2 linked regions of the Macaca fascicularis genome follow. The protein of the gene in region 1 interacts with the protein of each later gene in a pairwise test. Links are inferred from orthologs where the notes say so. Each region holds a gene or a part of one and is shown in the gene's direction. Other genes may lie near its edges.

Region 1 (9,713 bases):
AGGAAGAGAGAAGCTACACGTGTCTGGTGGATGCCTCTGTGGGCTTTAAAAAAATGAATAGGCTCTTTCTTTTCAGTACAGTTGAAAGTTTATAGAAAAATTGAATAGAAAGGACATGGAGTTCCATAGAACCCCTCAGCATTCCCTCCCTGCCAGTTTCCTCTATTAGTAGCTTGTTGGATTTGTGTGGTCCGCTTGTGACAAGTGATAAACTAATGTGATATATTACTATTATTATTATTATTTTTTTTGAGACGGAGTCTTGCTCTGTTGCCCAGGCTGGAGTGCAGTGGCGTGATCTTGGCTCACTGCAAGCTCCACCTCCTGGGTTCAAGTGATTCTCCTGCCTCAGCCTTCCTAGTAGTTGGGATTACAGGCATGTGACACCACACCTGGTTAATTTTTTAATTTTTTTAGTAGAGATGGGGTTTCACTATGTTGGCCAGGCTGGTCTCGAACTCCTGACCTCAGGTGTTCCACCCACCTCAGCCTCCCAAAGTGCTAGGATCGCAGGCGTTAGCCACTGCACCCAGCCGATATATTAATATTAACTAAACCCCCCTGCACTTCTCTTTGTGTTGTAAGCCCCATGGTTTTGACCAAATGATATGTGTCCACCTTTGTATTATCACAGGATAGTTTCACTGTGTTCCACGCATTTATCCCTTCCTCTTAACCCCTGGCAACCACTGGTTTTTTACTGTCTGCATAGTTTTTGCCTTTTCCAGGATGTCATAGAGTTGGAATCATACTGTATACAGCCTTTTCAGGCTGGCTTTTGTTCACTTAGTAGTGCACATTTAAGCTTCTGCCTTGTCTTTGCATGGGTTGACAGCTCATTTCTTTTTTTATTTTTATTTTTTGAGATAGGGTCTTGCTCTGTTGCCCAGGCTGGAGTGTAGTGGCATGATCATGGCTCACTGCAGCCTCAACTTCCCAGGCTCAAGTGATCCTCTCACCTCTGCCTCCCAAGTAGCTGAGACCACAGGCATGCGCCACCACACCCAGCTAATTTTTTGATTTTTTTTTTTTTGTAGAGACAAAAAAAGTGTTGTCCAGGCTGGTCTCGAACTCCTGGGCTCAAGCAATCCTCTTGACCCGGCCTGCCGAGTAGCTGGAACTATAGGCGTGTGCCCCATACCTGGCAGGCATGGGGTTTTCAGGCAGTAGAGGGTGGCAGGATCAGCTGCTCTGATCCAAGAGGCTCCTGGCTCTCCCCGAGCTGGGGTCTTAGGGGGCTGTAGGGCCAGCCTAGAATTTGCATATCCACTTTACAGATGGCGGGGGGTGGGGGTGGCTGTGCCTACACTGAGCTCCTTTGCAGCCTCTGCTTTCTCCCTCTCCAGGGAAGAGGACCCAGATGATGTGCCCCATGGACATATCACTTCATTGGTATGTAAGGTTCACTCAGGCTCTCTGGTGGGGGTGGAAGTGGGGGTTAGTTGAGGCAGCCCTCAAGGTCCCAGTCCTTCACCCGCTCTCTGCTCTTCTCCTACCAGGCTGTGAAGCGTTCCCACCGGCGCCTCGGTCTGGCTCAGAAACTGATGGACCAGGCCTCTCGAGCCATGATAGAGAACTTCAATGCCAAATACGTCTCCCTGCATGTCAGGAAGAGGTGGAAGCCGGGCTGAGGGAAGGGGGATTGAGGGGGAGAGATATTGCCTTGACGGGGGTCCTGGGGTACCTCGGCTTTTGGTGAAGATCCAGGAAGTGGGATTGGGGTGAAGGAGGGACCAAGAGGAGGGGCAGGCACTGGACGTGCTACCCCTCCCTGGCCATGTCCGTGCAGCTCAGCAGTGCCTTGTTCCCCTGCAGTAACCGGGCCGCCCTGCACCTCTATTCCAACACCCTCAACTTTCAGTAAGTAGATCTCGAGTTTTCTCGTGGGCTGGGGTTGGCCCCAGGTCTGGCCCACCAGGGCACCTGAGACCGGCTGAGTTGCCTTCCAGGCTAGGGGTGGGCCGGATGTGGGGAGGACGCTGTGGACCCCAGTGCTGCCAGGATGCCTCCACATTCACTCGGTGGCTGATGGTTGAAAAGCCGGCATGGAGACAGCACCTGCCTGCTGAAACGTGCTCCGTGTGTGTTGTGATGGAGGAGCTCTGGCCCATGCTGGCAGAGGCTGGTGAAGGGCACACGGGCTGTTTAGTAATGTTTGGGAATAAAGAGGTGTGGGTCCCTGGCGTGAGCAGATCATAGCATGGCCAAGCACCTGGAAGAATCCAAGAGAGAGCAGAATCAAGGAGAATGCACGTTCAGGAAGGAAGGACCGGCGGCCAGGCAGCCTAGTGGATGGGGCAGGTCTGCCTGAGGACCGGGAGGCCCCGTGTGCCTAGCACAGGAGAGAGGACCTGGCAGTCAGCATGCCCAGTAGACAGTGGAAAAAAGTGCTTGCAAGTGAAGCTGGGGTGGGCTGCCCGTGGAGGGACACTAACTGCAGTCAGCCCCTGTTTGGTAGGGGTGAAGAGGAGGGACTGTTGGGAAGGGCAGTGGCCTCTGGGCTGGATGCTGGCAAGAGGGATCTGTGACCCAGATGAGGATGTCTGGTGGGAACTGCTTTATAGCTAAGTCAACAATCCTCATGTCTTAGGCCTGGCAGGGCCAGCCTAGGCCATTGAGTCCAGCTCCCCTTCCAGGGACATGGCCACCCGAGTCTGCACACATGCCTCCCCAGTGCAGGCATGGCCCCTGAGCTGCTCAGGCAGGGCCCGTGCTGCCTAGGGATGACTCCCCTAAACAGAGCTCACTGTCTTTCCTGGGTTCTGATGGCTGTTGAGAGGCAGCTCAGTAAGGGACAGGACGCAGGGCAGGGAGGGAAGGGGAAGGCTGAATTCAGGAATTCAGCTCACAAGAAACCACAGAAATGAATCCTTAGTAGCCAGGCTAAGGACACAGAACGGGGGCAGGACAGGGGTGGGGCGGGCCGCTGTTTCCTGGAGCCTTTGCTGGAGAGAACAGAGGGCAGGTCACACCGGACTTGCTGTCTCAGAAAGGAGCCCTTCAGGGAGAAAACACGGCATCTTGCTCCAGTAGCCATGATACCAGGAGTGGAGGAGGGTGTCCCCCAGGTATGGGTCTTCCTCCTTGCTCTCTACCCTCTGCCCCCAGGATCAGTGAAGTGGAGCCCAAATACTATGCAGATGGGGAGGACGCCTATGCCATGAAGCGAGACCTCACTCAGATGGCCGACGAGGTAAGAGCCTGCATGAAGCCAAGCCAGGCAAGCGGGGGTGGCATTGGGGAGCCCCGAGACAGTGGCTGGAGGTGCGACCAACTTTGAATGCCAGCCCTTGTGGCTATGTTGCCAGGAGTCACGACCTCAGTTTCCTAGGTTGGGCTTTAGAGGAGGCCATCTGCCTAGCAGCCTGGAGGGTGATGGGAGAGGCAGAGGGAGGAGGCTTTTAGAAGGGAAGTGGGGAGGCCTGGGGACCAGTGGGTGGCCTGCCTGCTCAGAGGTAGTTCTGAGTCAGGGTTCTGCCCCAGGCTCCTTGGGTGGCAGGGCTGGTCAAGGGGCAACGCTGTGTCGTGGGGGCCTCCGTGGTAGTCAGTGAGCCCAGGTAGCAGTGGACTGGGGCTCCAGCCAGGTGTCCCCACTCAGTCCCACGTGTCCTGCCTAGCCCTGCTGCCTCACTATGCCCCTCTCCTCAGCCAGCGACAGGGCCAGGCTCCCTTTGTCTGGAAACTTAGGCCCCATCTCTTTACCTCCTGCTTCTCCCTGGGTTCCTGGTGGCAGCTGAGGCGGCACCTGGAGCTGAAGGAGAAGGGCAGGCATGTGGTGCTGGGTGCCATCGAGAACAAGGTGGAGAGCAAAGGCAATTCACCTCCGAGCTCAGGAGAGGCCTGTCGCGAGGAGAAGGGCCTGGCTGCCGAGGATAGTGGTGGGGACAGCAAGGACCTCAGCGAGGTCAGCGAGACCACAGAGAGCACAGATGTCAAGGACAGCTCAGAGGCTTCCGACTCGGCCTCTTAGAGCCTGCCCCATCCCTTCCTCACCCCACGAGCTTTCACAATAAATTCGCTCCGTGGCACTGGGGAACTTCGTGTGTGTGCGTGTGCACATTTAGAGGGTGTGTTTCTCCAGGTCCTCTGGTGGGGAGGTGAGCCTCAGCCTTTTGACCCAGAGCATCCTGCCAGTCCGAATAGAAGGGAAGAGCTTTGGAGGTGGGACTCCCCAGTCTCATGGCCTTCAGCAGCTGTGGCCCCGGGAAGGAGGCCCTGGGCTTAGGGAGAGACCCTGCCTTGGAGGTCTGCTTGGCCACGCTGAATGTGTTTTGTGGCATAAGCCTGGGCCGCTTAGGCTCAAAGCTCAACAGCAGGGCTCCCACTCTTGGTATCCTTCAGTTCTCCTCCCATCTTCACCTTCAGACCTTTTCTCTCCCTAATCACACCTGCTTTGGGCTACAGCAGCTCTGCGGCATAGCCGTGGGCTCCAGATGTGGACATCTGACTGCTCATTGGGCTTATCTACAGCTGTCCTGAGTATAATGACCCAGCCAGACGCCCTGTCAACGGTCCTTGAGTCCTCCCTTCCCTGCCACCCTAATGGTCAGTGAGTCCATGATACCTCTTGAGTCTACTCCCTGAGTTTGCATTTGAAAATAATTTATTTTTAGTACAATTTCCCCCCGTTTGCCCTATTGACATTTTGTATTAGTTGGTGTATTTGTTATTGTTGATGAGCTAATACTGATAAGTTATTGTAAACTATAGCCCATGGTTTACATTAGGTTTCCTGTCTGTGTTGTACAGTTTCTATGGGGTTACACAAATACATAAAGCCATTTATTCCCTCAAAATAATTTCATGCAGAATACAAAACTGGGTGGCTGTTGGGTGCGGTGGCTCATGCCTGTAATCACAGCACTTTGGGAGGCCGAGGTGGGCGGATCACTTTAGCTCAGGAGTTGGAGACCAGCCTGGGCAGCATGGCGAAACCCCATCTCTACTAAAAATAGAAAACCGGGTGTGGTGGTGCACGCCTGTAATCCCAGCTACTCGGGAGGCTGAAGCAGGAGGATCCCTTGAGCCCGGGAGGTGGAGGTTGCTGTGAGCTCTGATCACGCCACCACACTCCAGGGACAGAGACCCGTCTCTAAATAAATAAATAAATACATACACACACATCAAAATCCTGTTTTTCATGGAGTCACCCTAACCGTAACGCTCTCTCCTGTGTCTCCTCCCTTCCCTTCCCTCCGGCTGCAAAGCCATCGCTTGCTGTTCCTAGTCCCTGGGCGGGCCCTGTATTCCTGAGCCCTCTGTGTACCCTGCTACTGCAGGTGGCACTGCTCCTCCGCCAGGTTGAAAATTCGCCAAACAGACCTGGAGCTCGGTTCTCTTTGGCTGGCGCCTGGCACGTGACCAGCAGGCAGCCAGCTGCTGTGGAAGCGGAGCCCGGAGACCGGCAGGGCGGGGCCGGGGCCGGAAAGGCGCGTCTGCGCACGCCCGCAGCTCTCCGGTTCGCGGCTCGGGCGAGGCTGTGTTCTGATTGGCTTAAGACGTGGGCTTCCCTTTGTATGGGCCGGAGGCGGAGCTCTGGCCCGCCCCGCGCCTGGCGTCAGTGTCTTCCGGTTCGCAAGCCCGCGGCAAGCTTCGTTCCCAGGCTCTGATTGGTCCGGCGGCTCTGGGTTCTGCGCGTGGGGTGCGGGGGAAGGGCGGGCTTGCGCACTGCCTCGGCCGCGCCCCGGCGCCGGTGGAAGGGAGCTGGCCCAAGCTCCCACGGCGTCCGCGGCGCCCTCCTTCCGCCCCTGCCCGGCCCTCTGGACCCGGCCCGCCCTCTGCCATCCGTCCCTGGCGGGCCCGATGCCTGTCGGCCGCTCCCTCCGTCCCCAGGCGGACAGGTCCCCGCCTTCTGCGGGCTGCCTGGCTTTTGAATGCTTTGAAGGGGAACAATGGAGCGAAGGATAGAGCGAGCAGCAGGGGGCAGTTGCGTTCAGGGCCTTAAATGCCAAACAAGTGCCCTAAAAGCCTGGGCCAAACACTCAGGCTCTAAAGCACGGGCTGAATGGGGCATCCTAGGAATAGCTCTGGAGTGAAAAAAAGAGCGAAGAGAGCGTTTGAAGGCACGGACTGAGGCCTTTCCTGCCTGCCTGAGCCCTGTATCTGGCTCTGCTGGGTGGAGGGATCTTTGGGGACCAGTCGGGGCTCGGATGGAGGGGCAGGGTGTGTGGGGGCCAGCTAGTGAGGGGCGGGGGTCCCTGCTTCCCCTTGGCCTGAGGCAGAGGTGGGACGTGGGAGTCTCCCAACCAGGAGCAGGTTAGGGTGTGGGTGCGGCTGTAGGCAGGGGCGCAGGCTCTCTAGTCTCTCTGGAGAACTCGAACATCGGTACTTCCGAGGGCAGCTGCTGGAAGTCCAGGTCCTGGGCCTGCCTGGGTCTGGCTAGCTCCCAGGCCTTGAAGCACCAGGTCCTGCAGACACACTCGACGACGTGTTCGGGAAGGGCCTTGGTACTGGGAGAAGGGGGAGGGGAGGTGAGGGAGTGTTTTTTCCCTTCTGGGCAAGAGAATTAATTGCTCCTAGTTGAAAGGCAGGAAGTACCCGCACAGCCTCTCGTCCCCAGATCTGCAGGTCAGGGTCATATGTGCCCACATTTGCACAGAGCCTTACTCTGACATGCGTGCAAACACACGCCTAGTACCCCTGCACTAGTGCCCGCAGGCCCGCCTTCGGAACAGACGCCTGGTGCCCAAGTGCCTTGCCCCTCTCCCCACATCTATACCCCAGGGATTTCCCTCCCACCAAATTGAAGTAAGTTGTCTGCTTGACTTGTCAACCGCCTTCTGCCTCCTGCCTTCCCGATTTCCCGGAGAAAAGCTGCTGCCCTGTGGTAGAGAGTGGAGGAAAGCCCCACCACCCGTGGATGAGGGAGGCCCCAAGACTTGCCCCCAGGGTAGCTAAGATCTTACTCCGAGGGGGCTGCCCCCCTCAGGCCTATGACGGGCAGGTGCAGCTGCAGGGGAAGGGAGGCAGAGCAGTCTCTTCCGGCAGCAGGAAGTGGTAACCGCCTATGGGGAAATCGTGGGGCTGAGCAGAAGGGGAACCGGAGCTGAACTCTCCTCCCCTACCAAGGGGGCCTGGAGGGAATGGCAGCCAGCTGCTGAGGTTCTGCTCTCTGGTGCTGACCTTCCTTCCCCCTCCCCTCTGAACTTCCCACCCCAGCTCTCAAGGCTCCTTGGACCTCTCTGGGGGCTGACTTGGGAAGGGAGGACCCCATCCGATGTCTGGGGGAAGCAGGCCACCCAGGGGGAGTCCAGAGACTGGGGCAGCAATGGTGTTCATGTCCACTGGTACTGTGGGCCAGCGGCCCCGCTGTGAACTGTGCAGTCTGGCAGTGGTGACCAGGGACAGCCTTCTGGAGGTGGGGGGATGGCAGCCTGGGATGCCAGCTTATGTTGGGGCTCTCATGCCCGCTCCGGCTGCTTGGCAGCGGGGCTTTGGGCACAAGGCAGTCTAGGTGCAGGCCCAGTGGGAGGAGACGGCAAGACCGGGGCACAGTGGGGCTGGAAGGGGCGCCCTGCCCCCAGGAGCCCCTCGCGGGCAGTGCCAGCCCTGGGCCGCCCCGCCCCACCGGGAGCCGCGCTGGGGGCGGGGCTGGGCGGAGCCCGCGCAGGGTGCTGGCCGCAGCGCCCCCAAGTCCCGGCGCCGGGCCCACTCACGGCCGCGTGGGAGCAGTGGGGTTCGACGGCGCGGCCGCTAGGCCGCCATGGCCGCTCACGGGAAGCTGCGGCGGGAGCGGGGGCTGCAGGCTGAGTATGAGACGCAAGTCAAAGGTGAGAGGGCGCCGGGCGCTCCCGGCCCGTTTCCTGCGGAGACCCCAAGGTCGTGAGGGAGCCCCAAGCGTCCCCGCGCTGACCCAGGGCCCGATGCTCTCCCCAGCGACCTCTGGAGTGGGGGTGGAGGAGGGAGCCTGAGCCTCTTGCCTGCCTCCCCACGCCCATTTGGCCTCAACCGCCTGCCATCTTCCCTTCCTTCTTTCCTGTCTTCCTTCTTTTGGTCTTTGTCCTCCTTGGGTCTCTGCTCCTCACCCAAGGTTCAGTGTAGACACTGGTGGCCGCCGGTAAAGGGGAGCCGGATGTACCAACGTGCCCCCCAGAAGGCGGTAGTTTAGCTACAGTGAAGTCAACCACCTTGATTGGGCTAGGGGGTGGGGGGTGGGGGGTGAGTAAGGGAGTCTGGGTAAGTGGATTGGTGGAGATCACCTGGCCCTAACCCCAGTGTAGTCCCTGGAGCCTCAGCACCTTTTGCCCCCCTTTAGCACTGAGGGGGATCAGAGGCAAGGGCCACTGTCTCTGGGTCAAGCTGGCGCAGTGAGTCTTGGTTGAGAGATTTAACAGGGCTGGCTTCTCAGCCTTCTGAAATTGAACCTCTTTGGGTTCTGATAAACACCCATGTGCAAATCACATGCAAATCAGCTTTGCAAATTCTTAGCCAATAGCTTGTGCCCATCTTATTCAGGGCATGGTAACTCTTGCAAAGGAAAGAGGCAGCATCTCAGTGCCAGCAGCTCCTCCATATCACTCTCAATCACTCCATTTTACCAGTTACGGAAACAAGCTCAGAGAGGTGCAATGACTTGCCCGTGGTAACACAGCACTACAACTTCTAGGACGTAGAATGCAATAACCCTTGAAGTGCCTTTCAACCCAGAGATGTAGGTTCTAACATCATTATTCAGTGCAAGCAATTTATACCCTTTAAAGTATGCCCCAGTCCTCCTCCTTTGGAAAAGGCAGCCTGTGTCCAGAACCAGCTTGAGGTGACTACGCAGGGTGAGCCAGCTTTCCAAGCCTCACCATCATGCTCAGATGGAAGTAATCATCTCCATCCTGCTTCCCCAAAATGCCATGAAGCTGAAAGACTTGGAAAACTTCAATCAGCAAATATGGGTCAGTGATTTCACACTGAAAAGTTGGGGTTTCGAGCAAGACTATCTAAGGGTTCCTCACTTGCTCTGGGTCTGCATCCCACACCCTAGAAAAACTTCCTACCATGCTACAAAACGGGGTCACTGTCTTGACACCCTAAATTCTCAAAGGTCAGCATAGCCGTGGTTTTGGAGACCATCTTCTCTTCTGTTTTGCTTGTCAGCAGAAGTGAGACCAAATGCCTTGCTCACAGGAAGTGCTGGTGGGGCCCTGGGCCCAGCTCTGTAATTCAGGCAGACATGGATTCCAGCTCTCCTTTTGCCAGATGTTTCCTATACATCTCTGCTGTCCCAGGCCCTGGAAGCATACTGCTGTACAGGAGAGAACCCCGACTCCAGCCCCTCCAGCCCTGGCTTTTTACCCAGAGTAAAAACAGTGATTCAATGAGGACTCTCCTGATTTCAAATGGCGTCAGCACCCACCCTGCCCTCACATGGCTCATGGGTCTAGTGGGGGAGACATAGACTTTCCATTATGATAATAAGCACCACAGAGGGAAAGTGCAGTGTGCCAAGAAGGGGTCGGAAGAGGGCCAGCCCTAGTTTGGGGGGAGGCCAGGACAGGGTGTGCTGACGAGTTTGTCTGAACTGAGATCTGAAAGCTCGGCCAGGAAAGCCACCAGTGCAATCAACTTGCAATTCACAAGTTTCCTGCTCAACACCAGCCGGGTGTGCATGCCCGGATCTGGACTGGGACATGGCTTCCAGTTAGCTTTTACTGCCGGCAGTGATGAAGAAAGGCAGCGGTTCCCTCTGCTGGTTCCTTCTGCACTGTTCAGTTGTCATAAGT
Region 2 (9,265 bases), on another chromosome or scaffold:
AACTCAGTCTTCTGCTTGCTGAATGCTAATTAGATTTCTAAATTTATTTTAAAAAACACACTCTAGATGTGGTTTTCTATTTGTTGTTGAGTTTTAAATATAATTTTTGTCTTTTAAAGAACTTGTCATTTTTCTTCCTAGGTACCCAGAAATAATTGTTATTGGGAAATAAAACTTAATGGCAGATTGACTTTTTGCCCTTATCATTCCTAGTTATCTTTTCGCAATAAACAATAACTATTTTCTTTGGACCAGAATTATGTATTTTCAGGAAGAGACACTGTATTTTGGTGATTCAAAGGTCCAAAATATGTTATCTGAACATTAAGGATAAAGGTGAAATGACACTAAATAACCAATCCTGTAAAGAAAAAGTACTATAATAGTGGCATATACTAATCTAGAGGGATACACCACTTTTTATGTGGGTTAGGAGTAGCAAGAAGAAACTATGTACATACAGAGACACGCACCCTACAAGATTGGATTAAATTCCAGTATACTTATAAATAGCCACGTATTCAAACTGGTATCTGAAGCAAAATGGTCACACAAGGCAAGAGCAGATGTGGCATATCACAGCTTACTTTTCCTTGCTTCTCAGGGCCCCTAGTGAGGGCATACAAATTCCTGTGATACACACTATTGAAGTCAAGTCTTTCCAGATCAGGAAAGCACAATTTTTGCTGCAACATTGCCTTTCTATATTCATAGTTTCTATCTCCTTCAAGAATTTACATGAAGAATCTATCTGCTTCTGTTTAAAGGAAAACTCTCCTGGTTTTGAACTAAACTCAGCATTAGCAAGGCTATATCCTTTTCCCAAGGAAAAAAGTAAAGTGTCTACATATTCCAAAAGAATATCTCCAGGTTTTAGCATCCTGGAAAGCCTAATTTCCCCCACTATATTAGAAAGAATCAAATGAGAGGGATTAAAGAAACAAACTATTTGTTTCACAGTGAATTTAATTAAAAATGTATTAATTCTGTAGATATAGTTGATTTTTCATAATACAAAAGGACCTAGGACCTATGTCAATGTATTCTCTAAACTGATCATAAATGTTTTAAATATTTTTTTCTTTAAACAGCAAGTTCATCTGTGATACATAATGAAGAATTCCAGAAAAGATCATTTTAGAGTTTGGTTTCAAATTTTATTCCTTTTTCCCCAAATGATATTTGTATATAGAAATTCAGAAAATTAAATGATGTCCTCTACACTGTAATACCCACAGGTGTCTCTGGGTGAACTGTTGACTGCATAAATAGATCTTTACCATAGTAACCTAAAGACCATGCTGTTCAAGACCAGAGATTTATAGGTTCAGAAACTCAGACTCATCAGTGCTCAAGGGTCATTCTTTCACTGACTTGGGACTTCTGATTCTTATCAACAATGTGCATGACATATTTTAAAAAGAATAAAAAATCCATTTGTTAATGTACAATGGAAGTTATAACCATCAGGTAGATTAGGTAATATCTAAGTTTATTATTTACCCTATTGGCAAATTACATGGGAAAACAATGATCAATAGTTTGCCTATTAGTCATAGAAATAAAAAAAAGGGGGAGAATTTTGCAACTTGAATGTAGAATGGCCTCAGACTCTGAGAATGTTAAATTCCCTTCCTGACTGAGGACCAAACTGCAAAAAAGGCCAGATATTCCTTATGGTGTTATAGCTTACCAGATCACCACACAATTGCTTAGGTGGCTACAACCAGCATTGTAGCCGAGAAGCTCCTTGTTTTGTGCCAACGACTGGCAAACTCCCTTCTGAGGACCATCTTCTTTTAGATAAAATTACAGTGATATTGCTAACAAGTCATCTGTGAGATACTCTGTTTTGAAGGTGCCTTTTCATATTTCCTCACTGTCCCATATATGCCTCTTGTTTTCAAATTACTGAAATAGATCTTGCCATAGCCCCCAGATTGAGAAACGAACATAAGATTAACTTGTGTTTAACCTAAGTTTACTGCTATTTGGCCTCAGAGGAGTTGCTAAAAACGATAAGGACTGGTTAAAGACAGGTAATAAGCAGAAAGATGAAGAAGGAACAAGTTGAAATCCAAGCTATGTAATCAACAGTTGTATAATGGAGAGTTCTTTAGATAGATAATTACTTGTTAGCCTTAGTGCTTGCAGAGAAAGGTTTTCAATAACTTTTACTCTAATTTTAAGCTGATACCAGTGCCTCTTAGTTCACTGACTCCATTAATTTCTGAAACATCTGTTAAGCTACCTCTTGATTCCCTCATCACAAAATTTAGTCTCTCTTCCCATGAGACCAAAGTAAGAAAAGGTGCTTATATTTTTACCATTTCAAAATAAAATGTAGACTTAAAAATTTCAACCAACTTTGAGAAACTATAGACAAAGTTTTGATGTAGGAGGAGCCCAAAACAATAAATTGTGTCCAGGACTGCTCAGTACAAATGCTAACCTGAAACTTGTATTTCAGAACTTCCATTCTCCTAAAGGGTAGAGTCACTGGACCAGTATGTGTTATATGTATTTTGGCTCTTTACATTTACTCTTTAGTTCCATCTTAATACACACCAGCATGCGTGCACACGCACACATGCACATACACACATTTATTTAAAACCTTCACATTTTAATAGTTACTTCTAAAGTGTGTCAACTTAATCTCACTCTGAGTGTGACAGAGAGTTAGTGCCTGTGTGAATATATTTTTTCATCAGATTCAGCTTTTGCTATTGAGGGAAAATTATCTTTCCATCTCCTCATGTAGTGCAAACTTAAATCATTTAAATATGTTTTATTTTTCCAAAACTTACATTTCTGCATTACAAATGGTTTCTATTGATTGGAAGTCAAGCTCACTAGCATTCACTGCATGAGCTATGCATGAGCATGTTAAGGCCACCATATTCTGCCTGGTAACATTAATACTTTGTCATTTTCCTAAGTGTCGGATAATTCCCTGACCTTTAAAAAGGACTTTGGAGAACAGATTTTCCTCTAAATAATGTATTAATAGATCAACAAGTAATTTTTTTAATAATCATGAAGTTTAACATACTTGAAGCTATCTTTACAGCTCTGAAGGTTATCTTTGGGTTTCTGTTTTTTCCATAGAATAAGTTGAACCAGAATTTGTAATTGCCTTGCTGTCACTCAAAAGAAATAGATACTTTTTGTAATTGTTTGCATTGAGGAATCAGAGGAAGGATTTGCAGATCAAATCTGACTAATTTTCACATTTTGTCAAATTCCTTATCTTGTTCTTTTAATCATAGGCTTATGGTATGATTTGGCCCTGCATGAGAGTTCACTGATACAACTCAAACACATGTTTTTACTAAAAGTGGAATTAGTCCCATATCGTCATATGAAAAGACATTATAAACAGCAAAACTCACTTTACTACAGTTTTATTTTTATCATTCCCTAGCAATATATTACTGATCATTGCTAGCATGTAAAATCTTTTCATATTTTTGCTTAAGAGCCATATATAAGTAATTCATTAAATAAAACTTTTCTAACTTGATTCTTCCACTTTGTTTAGAATAGTACCTACTGACAGAGGTTTCTCATACTTTTAACACACATTGTTAGAAGTATTTTATTATATACACTTTTAATGGCTCTATTAACCTTAAGAAAAAAAAGTTAGTGATATCCACAATAAATCACTATCCCTGCTAGGAGGAGAATGTTGGTGGTATAAAAATCTAGGCCTCTTAATCTGCATTGTGGATGTGTGATGAAAAACGTAGCTTATCTTTCCTTTTTCTCTTTTTTAGCCTTGGAATGGATGGCTTTGGCCAACCAGTTGGCATTCTTGGACGCCCTGCCACAGCATATGGATTCCGCCCTGATGAACCTTACTACTATGGCTATGGATCTTGATAAAGTATCTGTTTCCATGCGTTACCTCAGCTTAGAAGAAATCTGTGTGGGTTGGGTGAATTTTGGATCTTTGCCTAATAATGCATGTTGATGTTATTGTGGGTCTGTGTTTATTTTTATTTTTATATGTTGTTAGCTGCAGATTAACCCCAGCCCCTTCTGTCTTCTGTTAAGTACAGTCGATACTGACATTGTTCACTCATCAAACCACATCTTGATACTGAGTAACATTTCCCATGAGCCTCAAAACTGAATGCTGAAAAGCTACTAGACTGGAAAAGAAACACTGCATTATGTACGTTAAGTGACTAATTTAATTTCAATTAAAAAGTATAAAGTGAAAATGAATAAGTGAAAGTCATGTGTTTATATTTCACACGTTTCATTACGAATTACATGTTAACATAGGGTGCACATGAGTTTTATTTTTTGTCCTTTTTTTCTGCTTGTAAAGTCTTGAGTAATTCATATAATATATGCTACCTTTATAATTTATAAAAAGAACATCACCTTCATATTCCATGCCATGTGCCTGAAAGTTTCCTTCCCAAAGTTTATTAACTATGAGTTTTCAATTAATAATGGAACATATGCCATAAGTTATTTATGGTTATAGTCTCTTCAGAGGTTTTAATTCATGTCTTCCTGGTTGTAATATAGAAATCCTAGGACAACTAGTATACAAGACAAGCGGTGATACAAGATTAGCATTTGGCTTTTAACTTTTATTCTTCATAAATTTAGTATCTAAACCATGGGAAAGCTAATTAAAAGTCTCATTATGGAAAACTAAGGAACAGAATATTTCACTCACTTTGGTACCCAGTTCCCAATTATTCACTTGTTTTTATAACATAGCTTTAGATAGCAAGAAATGGATGGACATTATATAATAATGAGTTTTAAAAGTAATTCAGTGTTTTCATATTGAGAAAAATGTTCAATTCTACTTGAAAAACTAAGCAAACAAATAACCATAATAATAACTATAATCAGAGATAGTTCCATGATCACCTGCTATGGAAGGAAATATGAAGCTTCAAAGGGAATACATAGATCAAAGATAAGACTTCTATTCTTGAATTTAAAATCTCGTTGATCTAAGTACACTATTTATTTGGCTTAAATTACATTTTAAGCAGAGGATAACATTTGGAAAAGGCCTTTGAAATAACTCAGTCTGCCTACTTATTTAAGAAACCAATCACATAAAGAATTTAAATGTAATCAACAGATATTTTCCTGACTACCTGCTATGTGTAAGGAAGTATATAATGCACCTTAGGGGATGCTTATGTTTATGTTTATGCCTTTGATCTTTCTGAAAACATACATTTATTTGTCTTAGTTTCTATTTTAACCATAAAATATTAAAGCTGGAAAAGGCCTTAGAAGCAACCCTGTCCAACTCTTTTTGCAGTCAAAAAAACTGTGGCCAGGAGAGGTTAAGTGACTTAGTCAATGACATAGCCTGTCTCTTTGCTTCCTATTCAGCAATCTCAATACTAAATACCTTGTTTTATTATTTTCATGCATACAAAGTATAAATACACATAAGTGACATTAATAGGAAAATGATGCAAACATCCTATAGCTTTAACTTCCCTCATGTTGTTATAAACTGCTTTAGGAAGAACACCCCCCAAAATTGATAACATTCCCAGGGCTATGCTCACTGAATTTTACATGCACATACTCACTCTCCCTAATTTTTTTTCATTAGTTTAGGACTTAACAAATTTAAAAATTGTTTCCACTCAGGTATGAACTGGTTTACCATTGCATTATTTATGAAGGAGTGTTTTTCTAAAGAGATTAATAAGGAAGATTATCTAAAAAAAGATTTGTTTTAAAACAGGGTCTTGCTCTGTCACCCAGGCTGGAGTGCAGTGGCACAGTCACCTTTCACTGCCGCCTCAGCCTCCCAGGCTCAAGTGATCCTCCCACCTTAGCCTCCCAAGTAGCTGAGACTACAAGCATGTGCCACTGCACTGGGCTAATTTTTTGTTTACTTTTTGTAGAGACGAGGTCTCACTATGTTGCCCAGGCTGGTCTCGAACTCCTAAGCTCAAGTAATCCACCTGCCTCAGCCTCCAAAGTGCTGGGATTACAAGCATGAGCCACCATGCCCAGCCTAATATTTTTACATACTTCAGAGAACAAAAGGTTTTGGCCTTGGGCACTTTTAGAAATACATTTTATGTAGTAAGACGAATATCCTGTCCTCACCACATTTTGACTACAAATTTAGGTCAGATTTATTTTAATAACTAAATTGTCATGGCTTCAAGCCCTGATTTATAGCTGAAAATTATTTCTTCTCCAGAGTTCTTTGCTCTTTCTGAGAGTTCATTAAGGTGCTTACTCACATAGGCCCAGGAATAGGTTTCTCATATTATGGTTCCTCCTCTTCCCCCTACACGGCTTTCTCTGTGTTCATGATCCTCATGAGATCACAGCTGCCCTCCACATGGGAGAACCACTGCTCCCTCCACTTAGGACCTGGGAAGATGACACTGCTCTCCCCTTTCTTATTCCCTTCCATGTGTGTGACACACCTGTTGCTTAAATCTGCACAGCACAACAGAAACTAAAGCTATATGTTTCATCATGACTTTACAGAGATATAAGTAATAAGGGAAGAGAGATATCATGCAAAATAACTTGCTATTATTACAAGAGCCAACAGTCACAAGGCTCTCACCTGGCCTGCATGGCAGGGCTAACTTGCCCTGTGCCACCAGAAATACTCAGGAATCTTTAGAATTCTAAGATGAGGCCAAACTCTCAGAAGGTCCCACAGAAAAGAGTGTTTTTTCTTCAAACCAACTGAAGACCTACTTTCAGAATCTGTTTCTTCTTCCAAGCTTAATTGTTATTAGCTACCTGATCTTCAGGATTTTACAGATCCTGTATATTTTAAGTCACAAAACAACAAGAGAGAAATAGAAACTGTCTGCCTACTTTTTCCCCAAGTGGTAGCTGGAGGTTTGTTTTTCTTTTTTTTTTTTTCTCCAGCCCCCTTTCTTTTGGGACAGAGTCTCTGTCTGTTGCCATGGCTAGAGTGCAGTGGCACTATCTCGGCTCACTGCAACCTCCACCTCACCTCCTGGGTCCAAGCGATTCTCATGCCTCAGCCTCCCGAGTAGCTGGGATTACAGGCACCTGCCACAATGCCTGACTAATTTTTGTATTTTTAGTAAAGATGGGGTTTCACCATGTTGGCCAGGCTGGTCTCAAACACCTGACCTCAAGTGATCCACCCACCTCGGCCTCCCAAAGTGCTGGGATAACAGGTGTGAGCCACCGCGCCCAGCCTGTTTTTCTTCTTTAACCTAGTCAACTGACCTAGTTATCGGCAAGTCTTCCCAAATTCTATCATTGAGGATACATTGAGGTTTTTAGTGAGGTGAATTACTGTGTTCTTCTATGTCTTTGTTGCTAGTTTAGTGGAAAATTTGAAAATACTGTTTTCTCCTAAAATATCTAAAATCCCACATAGACATGTGTAGTAGTTAGGTTTCTCCCGAGAGACAGAACCAACAGGAGGGAGGGAAAGAGGAAGCAAGGGAGGGAGAGAGAGAAATTAGGAGAGAGAGAGAGGATTTATTAGGGCAATTGGCTTACATGATTGTAGAGCTTAGAAGTCCCATGACAGGTCGTTTATAAGCAAGAGAACCAGGGATGCCAGTAGTGTGGCTGTCCAGGTCGGAAAGCCTCAGAACCAAGGAAGCCAATGGTGTAACTTATTAGTCCAAGGCTGGAAGTCTGAGGACCTGGGACTGCTGGTGCAAGTCCTAGAGTCTGAAGGTCAGAGAACCTGGAGTTCTGATGTCCAAGGGCAAAAGAAGGGTGTCCCAGCTCCAGGAGAGTGAGAACAAATTTGCCCTTCCTCTGTCTTTTTCTTCTATCTGGACCTTAAGCCAATTGGATGGTGCTCAGCCACATCAAGGATGGGTGTTCTTTATGCAGTCCACCAACTCACATGCCAGTCTCCTCCAGAAACCCCCTCACAAACAACCAGAAATAATGATTTTCCAGCTAAGTATTTCTTAACTTTTCTTAATCCTAAAATTAATTATCACCACAATCTAGGTAGGTAATTTAAAAGCTACAAAATTGAAATGATAATGCACTAGACTTTGCGATGTGTTCTCGGAGTACAGCAGCACTGCCCTCCTATTTGGGATAAAGAGTGGTCTGAAGCAGGCATTAAAGAAGGGAATACTGGGGAAAAATCAGTGATATGGAATAAAAATTTAAGAAGCTCTCTGACAAGGCAGAGGAAAAGAACATATACTAAATGATAAATAAGAATATAGGAAGCAAAAATCAGAGCACCAACATTTGTCTAGTAAGTTTTCCAGTTAAAATTTTTAAAACTCCTTTTAAAAAAGTACAAGAAGAAGACAAGAAAACCTTCCTGAGCTTAAAAAAAAAAAAAAAAAAAAAAGGATGCTTTTTTCCTACAATATGGTCATCCTGTTTTGAAAATGGAGACTGGCATCTATCTTGACATACGCTGGGAAAGGTCTTATGAAGAATGAGTTAAAACCTCCATAAGAATCTTGGAAAGACAAAATATCTTCAAAGAAACAGACCACCCTGAGAACTTTGACATTAAGTGGCGGAAAACAGTGAAGTGTGGTCCGTAGAGCTGTTTCCTTTTATTGAGGAGATAGATTTGGAACTCAAAAATACTACACCTGACCACTTTTCTTTACTTTTTCAAAAAATTTTATTTTGTGAGGGAGATAGAGATTCTTAAAGATCTCAGAAAATATACCTTCCATTTAATTTTCAGAAGAAAACGGTGGCTGGGTGAGGTGGCTAACAATTGTAATTCCAGCACTTAGGGAGGCCAAGGCAGGAAGATTGCTTGAAGCCAGGAGTTCCAGACCAGCCTGAGCAACAAAGCTAAACCCTATCTCTACAAAAAGTTAAAAACATTAACTGGGTGTGGTGACTCACACCTGCCATTCCAACTTCCCAGGAGGCTGAGGTGGGAGGATCACTTGAGCTCAGGAGTTGTAGGCTGCAGTGAGCTATGATCATACCACTGCACCCAGCATCGGCGACAGAGACCCAGAATGAGGAGGGGGAGGGGGAGAAAAAAAATAAATTGGTGCTATGACTTTTTTACATAATGCAAAACTAGCTCTAGAATTAGCAGGTCACAAAAGGACAGGTGTGAGCACTAAAAGCAGTTAAATATTTGCAAATATAGGTAATTATTACAAAACAACATGCAAATGTACTCCTGAAAAAATACATAAGGCAAAATAATTTGAGGATGATGACATGGTTTTGAAACTCAAGAATTGGATTGAGGGATAATGCTTTAGAGGCTTGGAGAAGAAAGTAAGGAAATTGATTG

The links.
Region 2: the proteins of NAA10 (region 1) and KIFAP3 interact in binary tests that used the Homo sapiens proteins (3 or more experiments, as listed by UniProt). The two-hybrid records come from large-scale screens. The link is inferred for Macaca fascicularis from reciprocal best matches to the Homo sapiens genes NAA10 and KIFAP3.

The regions. Positions count from the first base shown.
Region 1 is NC_088395.1:159,990,450-160,000,162, reverse strand, and holds the end of NAA10 (N-alpha-acetyltransferase 10), read left to right. Parts: intron 1-1,346; coding exon 1,347-1,392; intron 1,393-1,499; coding exon 1,500-1,615; intron 1,616-1,815; coding exon 1,816-1,860; intron 1,861-3,108; coding exon 3,109-3,193; intron 3,194-3,733; coding exon 3,734-3,970; 3' UTR 3,971-4,036; downstream 4,037-9,713. Other genes in the region: ARHGAP4 (rho GTPase-activating protein 4), read left to right, coding at 7,703-7,769. UniProt on the Homo sapiens protein: Catalytic subunit of N-terminal acetyltransferase complexes which display alpha (N-terminal) acetyltransferase activity. Acetylates amino termini that are devoid of initiator methionine.
Region 2 is NC_088375.1:27,553,806-27,563,070, reverse strand, and holds the end of KIFAP3 (kinesin-associated protein 3), read left to right. Parts: exon of another isoform or gene 1-1,204; intron 1,205-3,782; coding exon 3,783-3,888; 3' UTR 3,889-4,236; downstream 4,237-9,265. UniProt on the Homo sapiens protein: Involved in tethering the chromosomes to the spindle pole and in chromosome movement. Binds to the tail domain of the KIF3A/KIF3B heterodimer to form a heterotrimeric KIF3 complex and may regulate the membrane binding of this complex.